Linked DNA regions of Caenorhabditis elegans. The protein of the gene in region 2 purifies or fractionates together with the protein of the main gene of each other region. This does not show direct contact. Each region holds a gene or a part of one and is shown on either strand. Other genes may lie near its edges. The genes, in order: ttbk-5 and asic-1.

Region 1 (3,927 bases), on a different chromosome or scaffold from region 2:
TGTTTTAACTATTAAATTAAACGTGAGCCTTTTAACTAGCTCCTCCCACTCCATTAATTTCTTTTTGCAATCATTGCTATCAATAAAGGGAGCGAGCGGTCTATTCGTTTGAGTTTTACAATGTTTTTGTTGTGAAACAATACCATATTAATTGATTTATGTTGTTTTACATTTCCAAGTTCAGGGAAAAAACTCCAAAACCAAGATTATTGTCCCGTTACTTCATTTATCAACTTTATGAAACTACTTAATTAAAACTACTTAATTAAAAATCTTGGTTTTGGAGTTTTGATTTTATAACATTTTAACGTCTTCGAGTTGTCAAAATTGAAAGCAATAAAATGAAATTGTGCCTACTCAGACAATTTTTAATCGGACAATTGGAACAAGCCCGAAATTATTTTCAATTGTTGGTTTGAATTGACCACCCGACTTTGAAATCTTTCGGGTATGTTAAAGACCAGTTTGTAACAAATAAAACAAGAAATTATCACAAGTCATTTTATTGGAATCAAACACAAGTTATCTTCTTCATCTCTATTTCTTTTGATTCACCGATCTTCCCTTATCACTCTTCAGAGCATCCCCTTGTTGAGTTGACTCCGCAGCACATTTGTCCATGGGAGGTGGTCCATTGATTCCGATTTTGTCCAGTTTGAAGAAACGACCGTCTGGATTTTCCCAATCCGCCGGAGAGATTGATGGCTGAAAGAGAATGTATAGGAAGAGATATCTCAAGCAAGCTATACATCTGGATCCGAAGTTTCCCAATCGAAGCGAGAGCTTGTAGTCTGTCCTTCATTAAGCATCACTTGCCAAAGAGCTTTGAACACCAAACTGAAAATCTTCTTTTTTTTTTAAATATTTTGTTTTTTCAACTCACAGATAATCCGGTCTCATGTAACAGTCAAGTGTACGAAAGTGAGGAATGATGTCACACATACAAGGAGGCATGTTCAACATAACATCTTGATCTGTCATTATCATTTTCATTGCTTCAACCTCTTCTCTCTTCTGAACATTCTGCCATGGAAGCCCTCCATTAAGCTCGATGAGCACGAAGAGTAGAGACCAGATATCGTCGACTCGACCTTGTTCTTTACGAAAATGGACATTTGGGGACGTGTAACGAAGTGTTCCACGGAATTCTGCAGTTCCACGAGCACGACGAGCACTCCAAGTTTTTGATGACTCGCTCTGGAAAAGGTATAACTATTCCAATTATAAAATTCCTCGATGTACAACTCACAAACTTGGCAAAAGATCTTGCTAGCCCAAAGTCCAAAATGTGAACAATTCTAGCTCTTTCCTTGTCATCCTCATTACCCATCATGAAATTCTGCGGCTTAATGTCTCTGTGGACAAATCCACAGTCGTGCATGTATTTAAGCCCGTACAGACATTGAATTCCAATCCGGGACCATGTGCCACGTGTGAATCTCTCCTTGGGTCGTTTGTTCTTCAGACACTTCAAGTTCTTGCCGAGAAGTGTCATTACCATGTAACCTGAAGAATACAAATGTTTTTCTGAAAATTTATTATATATTTTTAAACTAACAATACTTCTTCCGTTTTCCTGAAAGAAGAAGTTTCGGCACATGAATCACCGATTCTCCATCGTTCAATTTTCTGAGAATCAACGCTTCCAACTTGATTGCAGATCCTCCTTCCATATCGTTCGATTCTGCTTTCAATGCGAATCGCTTGCCACTATTATCTCTCACGAGGTAAACTTGACCAAATCCTCCTTCGTCCAAAGATTTTTCTATTGTATACGAACCGAAACTGTAAATTAGAGATTGTAGGAGACACGTAGGAATCAGGCCACTATAAATCAAATTGGCATACTGCTCAAGTATAAACCAATTTGTTTGAATGTAGATGGGCAGAGCAACAAGATTTTGGATTTTGCTACGTGTTCGCCAAAAGGAAAAACTCAGCCGCGCTCATTAAATAGGTAAGAGCATTTTCACTGGACTGTCTCTAAAACTCCACTTTGGGCAAGTTTCCAAATGATGCAGTGAGCAAAACCCTCGTAGGAAAATGTGTGATTTTCCGATAAAAAACTAACCGTTTGCCAATTTTAAAACGAACATTGTCCATTGGATCCTTTTCCTCTTCTTTCTTATCGACAGCCATTATTATTTCTATCGGCTACTTTTTTCTTTTTAGCTGCCTTCTGCTACGCGGAGAATTGGAAATTTTCGAAACTGATTTTGAATATCGATTCTGATTGTATTTCTGATAAAGACGTGGAAAGTTCGAAGGGTCGGATTACGGGGTATTTCAAAGGTTACACGACTTAAATTTAAATAGTTTTATCTATTCTCGTTGGCACGAAGTATATCTAGGCAATCGTGACGAAGGAAACCTTTGACGTTTGTGTAGAGAAAAGCAAACTATTCTGGAACACTTCAAAAGATCTCTAAAATACAAATATCGAATTTGTATTTTTGTATGAAAAAGTGGATTAAAAGGGTGTTCGCTTCGAGAAAGATACAAAATGCTGAAATTAGTATATAGAAGTTCCTAAAGTTTGAAAGCAGAGCCAAGCGTTACTGAATTTGGAAAAAGGAAATTTCCTGCATAGGTGAAGCCTAATAGGTGAAATGGATGTAACATGAAAATGTTCTAAAACATTTTCACCGTAAAATTTAGGTAGGCGGGAAGGTCCTGTTGTGCCCATATAGGCTTATGATCTCTCTGAAAAACTCTCTGAACTTTGAATTTCTCCAGAATGTTTTTGGTTTCTGATCGATAAATGTTTACTGGTTGTTGATGTTTGTAAAAGTCCTGCAAATTCTAGAAAATTCTCAAACTCTTTTTCTTATTTTCATGAGAAAACCGAAACTTTGAAGTACATAAGCAAAGAGTTGCGTTGTTATTTTAATCTTTTGAACCTATTAATAAATCTTTTTTGTTTTCTCGGGATTATGTTAGGATTACAAAGACATTTAAGACAAGAAGTTGTTTCTGTTATTTCACTTTTTTTGTTTGCGCATTCACAATTTTGTTAAAACAAAAAATCATGAAAGTTTTGATTGTTCTACTATTCGCCACAATCCTTTTGACATTCTCCAATGCTTCAAATCTCGATGAAATCAATGCAAATGCATCTGAAACAGATGAAGTAATTGAATTAATTGCAACTCAGAAGCCGCCAGTTCGTTTTATTGACAAAGTTCGTGCAATTGGAAGAAAACAGGCAGTCGGCGTAAAAGGGAAATTAATGTGTGGAGGACGCCCAGTTAGGAATGCCACTGTCAAATTGTGGGATAATGATATGTGTAAGTGATAATCAGTTTAACATTCTGAATCATGTTATTTGGTAGCTTTAGTAGTTGTATGGAATATGTTGACATTCAGATTGATAAATTTTATCACGTGGTCTTATAACAAAATCAGAGATTCAGACACTTCACTACATGTCTCAAAACTAAGTGAATTTTGAAAAGATAGAGTACAATAATTTCGAAAGATAATTTGGTAATGTTATTTCCAAGGATCAAAAAATTTCCTAAAGCCGGTGTGTTTGGAAAATTTTGAAACAACCTGGTTATGGGGCTATTTAGGAATAGAGAGTCCGATCTTTCACATATCAAGCTTTCAAATCGACTATTTAGTAAGACAGGCACGTCGACAGGTAGGCACATAGGCAGGCAGGGACTTATATTTGTAGGCATGAGTAGGAACGCGAATTTGAAAAAAAAATTTAGATAGAACAAACATGCAGAATGGTTGTATACACATAGGTAGAAGGGCGTCATACAGGCACATATGTTGGTAGGCACGTAGGCGTGACTACATGCAGATAATCAGGAAATCGCGTAGGCATGCAGGAGCGTACGTCTGAAATTGTGCACTCCTACCAAAAACTAAATGTACTCACTGGACGGTAAAGGGCCACGATACACCTAGAAATATTTA
Region 2 (3,927 bases):
GATCCATGTCGGGTACCTGGAAAATGAAGAAAGCTCGAGCTCATTTTTTGTTGATAGAAACATCAAACAATTCAAGGAAAACTCACCGAAGTAGACACACAGCCATGTTGTTTAGTACAATTACAATGCGAGTAGACAGCTAGTAGACCCTCATATCTACTGAGAAGACGCTCATGGACTTTCCTCTCGGGAGTTCTTCTTTTTCGTTTCTGAAAGTTGAATATCTAGTTAAAGGTGGGGTAGCGCCAGGGAGAATTTTGCCAAGAATGGTCTAATTTTTTAAAAATGATTTTTGATAATTTTCAGTTGAGTTGCCAAATTATCGGAAAATTTGGATTTCAAGAATTTTAGAATAATACCTGTTTTTCAAACGCTTGCAATGCCTGGATGCAAATTAGAATTGGCTCAATGTCTGCCGTTTTTTAAGGAGATCTCTGCATGCCTGCCTCCTGCCTACACGTTGCCTACTGAACCCTAGTAAAATCACCTTAACATTTCCCTTAATTTGAAAGCAATTTCCATGATGACAGATACAAGTTTTTGAGTCGATTTCTTCTTCCAAATCCATATCATCAGACTCTTCACACTTGCCCAACCAATCACAGTTACTACACGTGGATACTTGAAATTTTTGAGCAGATGCACAATATCTGGGACCACTGGATTCAGGGGAAATGCAAAGTTTTGTGCCGTTTTTGGAAAGTTGAAGTGGCCACACCAGTTGTTTCTGGAATTTTTTGTTTGATAGAGAATAGTCTGAAATGTTCAAGTATACTTATAACGATGCAATTTTTAAAACTTCATTTTTTCAAAAATTTCACTACAATTTTGCAAATATATTTTTGAATTATTTGAACTGCTGCGCAAATTGGGTACTGTATTACGGCTAGAGCACGGCAAATTTTGAAAAAGCGCATTTGCCGAATTTGTCGAACTCGGCAAATTTTCATATTTGCCGCATTACGACCTATTTTTTAGTTTGTTAAAATAAAATTTAAAACATTTTTCGAGTTATATTTATTTGAAAGAAGACAATTTTAAATCTTTTATATATCCATTCCGACAATTTTAGACAATTTTCTACCTCCAAACTTACCGTAACCTCATCCGAAACACAAGTGTCCTCAAAGCATTTACACGTTTTCAATTGATTGGATCCCTCTGCCAAGTGGCAAATTTTATGTGTCCAATCTTTTCTTTGGTGACAATTCCAGAATATTTCATCATCGTCGGTGTCACCAACTTTTGACATATCCTCAAAAGTGACACATGTCTGAAAATGGGAATATTAGAGGGATTTCGTAAGGAGTCTAAGTCTAAAAATCGATTTGCCTGGAAAAATGGTATTGTGAAATAACTGTGCTATAACATAAGTAACTGCGCAAAACCTTGCAAAATTCAATTACAATTTTGATTAGAAAGCACCGACCAATCAGTGAAGTGCTTTGCTTGTCGCTGATTGGTCGGCATGGGAAAAACTCTACTTACACATTCCACGTGCCCATAATCATGAGCAGTAAACATTCCGTGCTCCTCCTTACACAGTAAATCTATCGGGACCATTTTTGAATTAGCTGATCGCTTTTTCCTTTTTGAATGTGCATTCCCATCACTTTTATCAATTGCTAGCTCGAATGCTTCAATCTGAATATCTAGAATTTAGAATTTTTCTAATATCAGCTAAGGTCTGACCGCGTTTCGAATTGCTCCGAGTTCTCGAGCCGCCGAATTTTTATAGGGATTCATGTTGCAGATTGTCACCGCTGGGAACTTGATCTCTTCGAATTTTATTTCCACGCCAACGATTATATCGTTCCTCGAATTAGAAAAATAATGTGTAATTCCAAAAATTTCCAATTCCTACCTATTAAACCTCTCCACAATTAAATAAGCTTGATGTCCGAAACAAGAAAGACAGAAAAGGAAACAAAGAAGCCACATATACCTCCTCCATCCAGTTGAAACGTATGCTCGAGGAATTCCATGAGCACTCGTGTGCTCCGCAAAGTCAACGACATCAAGTTCAAGGGCCCGTTTTAAGCTGTTCTTTCCCATTTGGTGGCCTGAAATTTGATCAAAAATTGCCAACTATGAAAAAATTAGTTCTTATACATTTTTGAAGTTGAAAAGTATTCGATATCATCAAAACTAAAAAAAGATACATGAGTTAAAAATTTCATGAGGAGGAACACATCTCCTTTTTTGGCTCGCCTGCCTACGTGCCTACCAACCATCCGGTATTTATTGTCTGTAGACTTACGAATTTTTTAGATTCTGCCAGTCAAAATTTTGAAGAGATTTTTTTGGAAATTTAAGAAACAACGAAGAAAAAAAGTATATTTTTAAAATTGTAGGCACGGGAGGAATACGCGGGATGCAGGCGCAGGCGCAGAAAACGTTTTGAGCCTACATAGAACTTTTGCAACTCTCTGATGTTTTTTGAAAAAATTGTATTTAACCGGTTTCTTTTTTCAAGGTAAGAAACAATTCTCAAAAAATGAGAACAAATGCAACTTTGAACCCGAATATGTCAGAAAAGAAGAAGAAATGTATCAAAAATGAGTGTAATTGTCGGTTGAATACAAGGACCACTGTGGACTTATTCCGGAAACAAGCAATCTGTTTACCTCTTGTCTGTTTCTAGAGACCCAATGACCATATTTATTTGATGGAAAATGAGAAGAAAGCGTGGAAACATGGTGCAAGGAGAGGAAAATTACTTATATGTAGGCAGGCCTAATTCATGCCTGCCTATCGTTTGAAAATATTGCTTGCATACAATTAAAATTTGATGATTGACAAGACGATTTGAAATATCACAAAAATTTTGCTTGCATTTGTCAGGGGACTTCAAAGAGCTAAACAAATCAAGCCATTCGGTAAGATATATTTGTTTTGCTATTTTTTTCTCAAACGTGCGATATATGTATAAATTGTCATAGGAACTCTAGTATGAGAAAAAATGAAACAAAAGTTTGCAAAGTGGGACTATATTTTCATAGTGCAAAAATTCCTAAGCATTGTAGAGGTAACAGTATTACTATATAATTTTTTGGCAACTAATCATAGAAGTATTTTACACCCATATGAAATTTAAAAAAACATTTGAATTATCAAAATATGCTAGTAATAATTTTTATTAACGACCTAATATGTTTTTTCAAGAGTATTTTGAATTTAACAATTAAAATAAAAGAAAACATTGTTCAGTAAAATGTATGTATATAGTTCTAAGTCTACAAAAAGTATCAGATTTATATTTCCAGCAATGTTCGGTTTTCAATATTTCCGGCAATCGGCGATGTCGGCAACTGCTGGTTTTGGGAATTTACGGCAATCGGCAAAATCGGCGATTGCCCAAATTGCCAAATGGCAATTGCAGCGCACCCTCGTAAAACATAGTTTTCACCAATAATTATTCTGGATGGAGACCAAAAAAATTTTTTTTAATGGGGTTCGACGCACAACTCGGATATTTTATTTAAACTGTAGCTATCCGCAAAAGGTTTTGCATGGAAGTTCAGAATTCAAAACTCATTTTCAAGAAAACTTCAGCGTAAACTCCAAAAAAGTCAGAAGTAGTAGGCAGACTTTTTGTGACACACAGAAAAACAAGAGGACTAGGGAGGTGGGCGCTCACTTTTCAAAAAGTAATCCAACTAACGAGTATTTCCTCGTCTTTTCTATACTTCTACCCTTCGAGACGAATAGTAAGTGACAATCAGGTTCCGTTTTTCAACTTTGTCTCTCCTCCAGGTTTTCGACTTCATGCATTTTTCATTGTTTTCCGCGAATCAATGTCGTTTTCACCTCTGTTTTAGATTGCACTTTTTTGGAGTGAGAAGGGTTACACGTCAGGATTCGGAGGAAAAAGAAACAAAACACGAAAATGTAGGATTACTTTGAACCCTTGAACTGAAAACCAAA

What was found.
Region 1: the proteins of asic-1 (region 2) and ttbk-5 fractionate together in Caenorhabditis elegans (co-fractionation; one large-scale study listed by BioGRID). This does not show direct contact.

What each region holds. Positions count from the first base shown.
Region 1 is NC_003282.8:10,088,946-10,092,872, reverse strand, and holds ttbk-5 (non-specific serine/threonine protein kinase), read right to left. Parts: upstream 2,216-3,927; 5' UTR 2,140-2,215; coding exon 2,072-2,139; intron 1,786-2,071; coding exon 1,559-1,785; intron 1,507-1,558; coding exon 1,250-1,506; intron 1,198-1,249; coding exon 884-1,197; intron 838-883; coding exon 750-837; intron 706-749; coding exon 538-705; 3' UTR 484-537; downstream 1-483. Other genes in the region: ttr-39 (Transthyretin-like family protein), read left to right, coding at 3,029-3,287.
Region 2 is NC_003279.8:3,767,809-3,771,735, reverse strand, and holds the start of asic-1 (Degenerin-like protein asic-1), read right to left. Parts: upstream 2,065-3,927; 5' UTR 2,056-2,064; coding exon 1,865-2,055; intron 1,817-1,864; coding exon 1,693-1,816; intron 1,645-1,692; coding exon 1,489-1,644; intron 1,274-1,488; coding exon 1,097-1,273; intron 728-1,096; coding exon 488-727; intron 210-487; coding exon 87-209; intron 17-86; coding exon 1-16. UniProt on the Caenorhabditis elegans protein: Forms voltage-independent, pH-gated trimeric sodium channels that act as postsynaptic excitatory receptors in the nervous system, playing a crucial role in regulating synaptic plasticity, learning, and memory.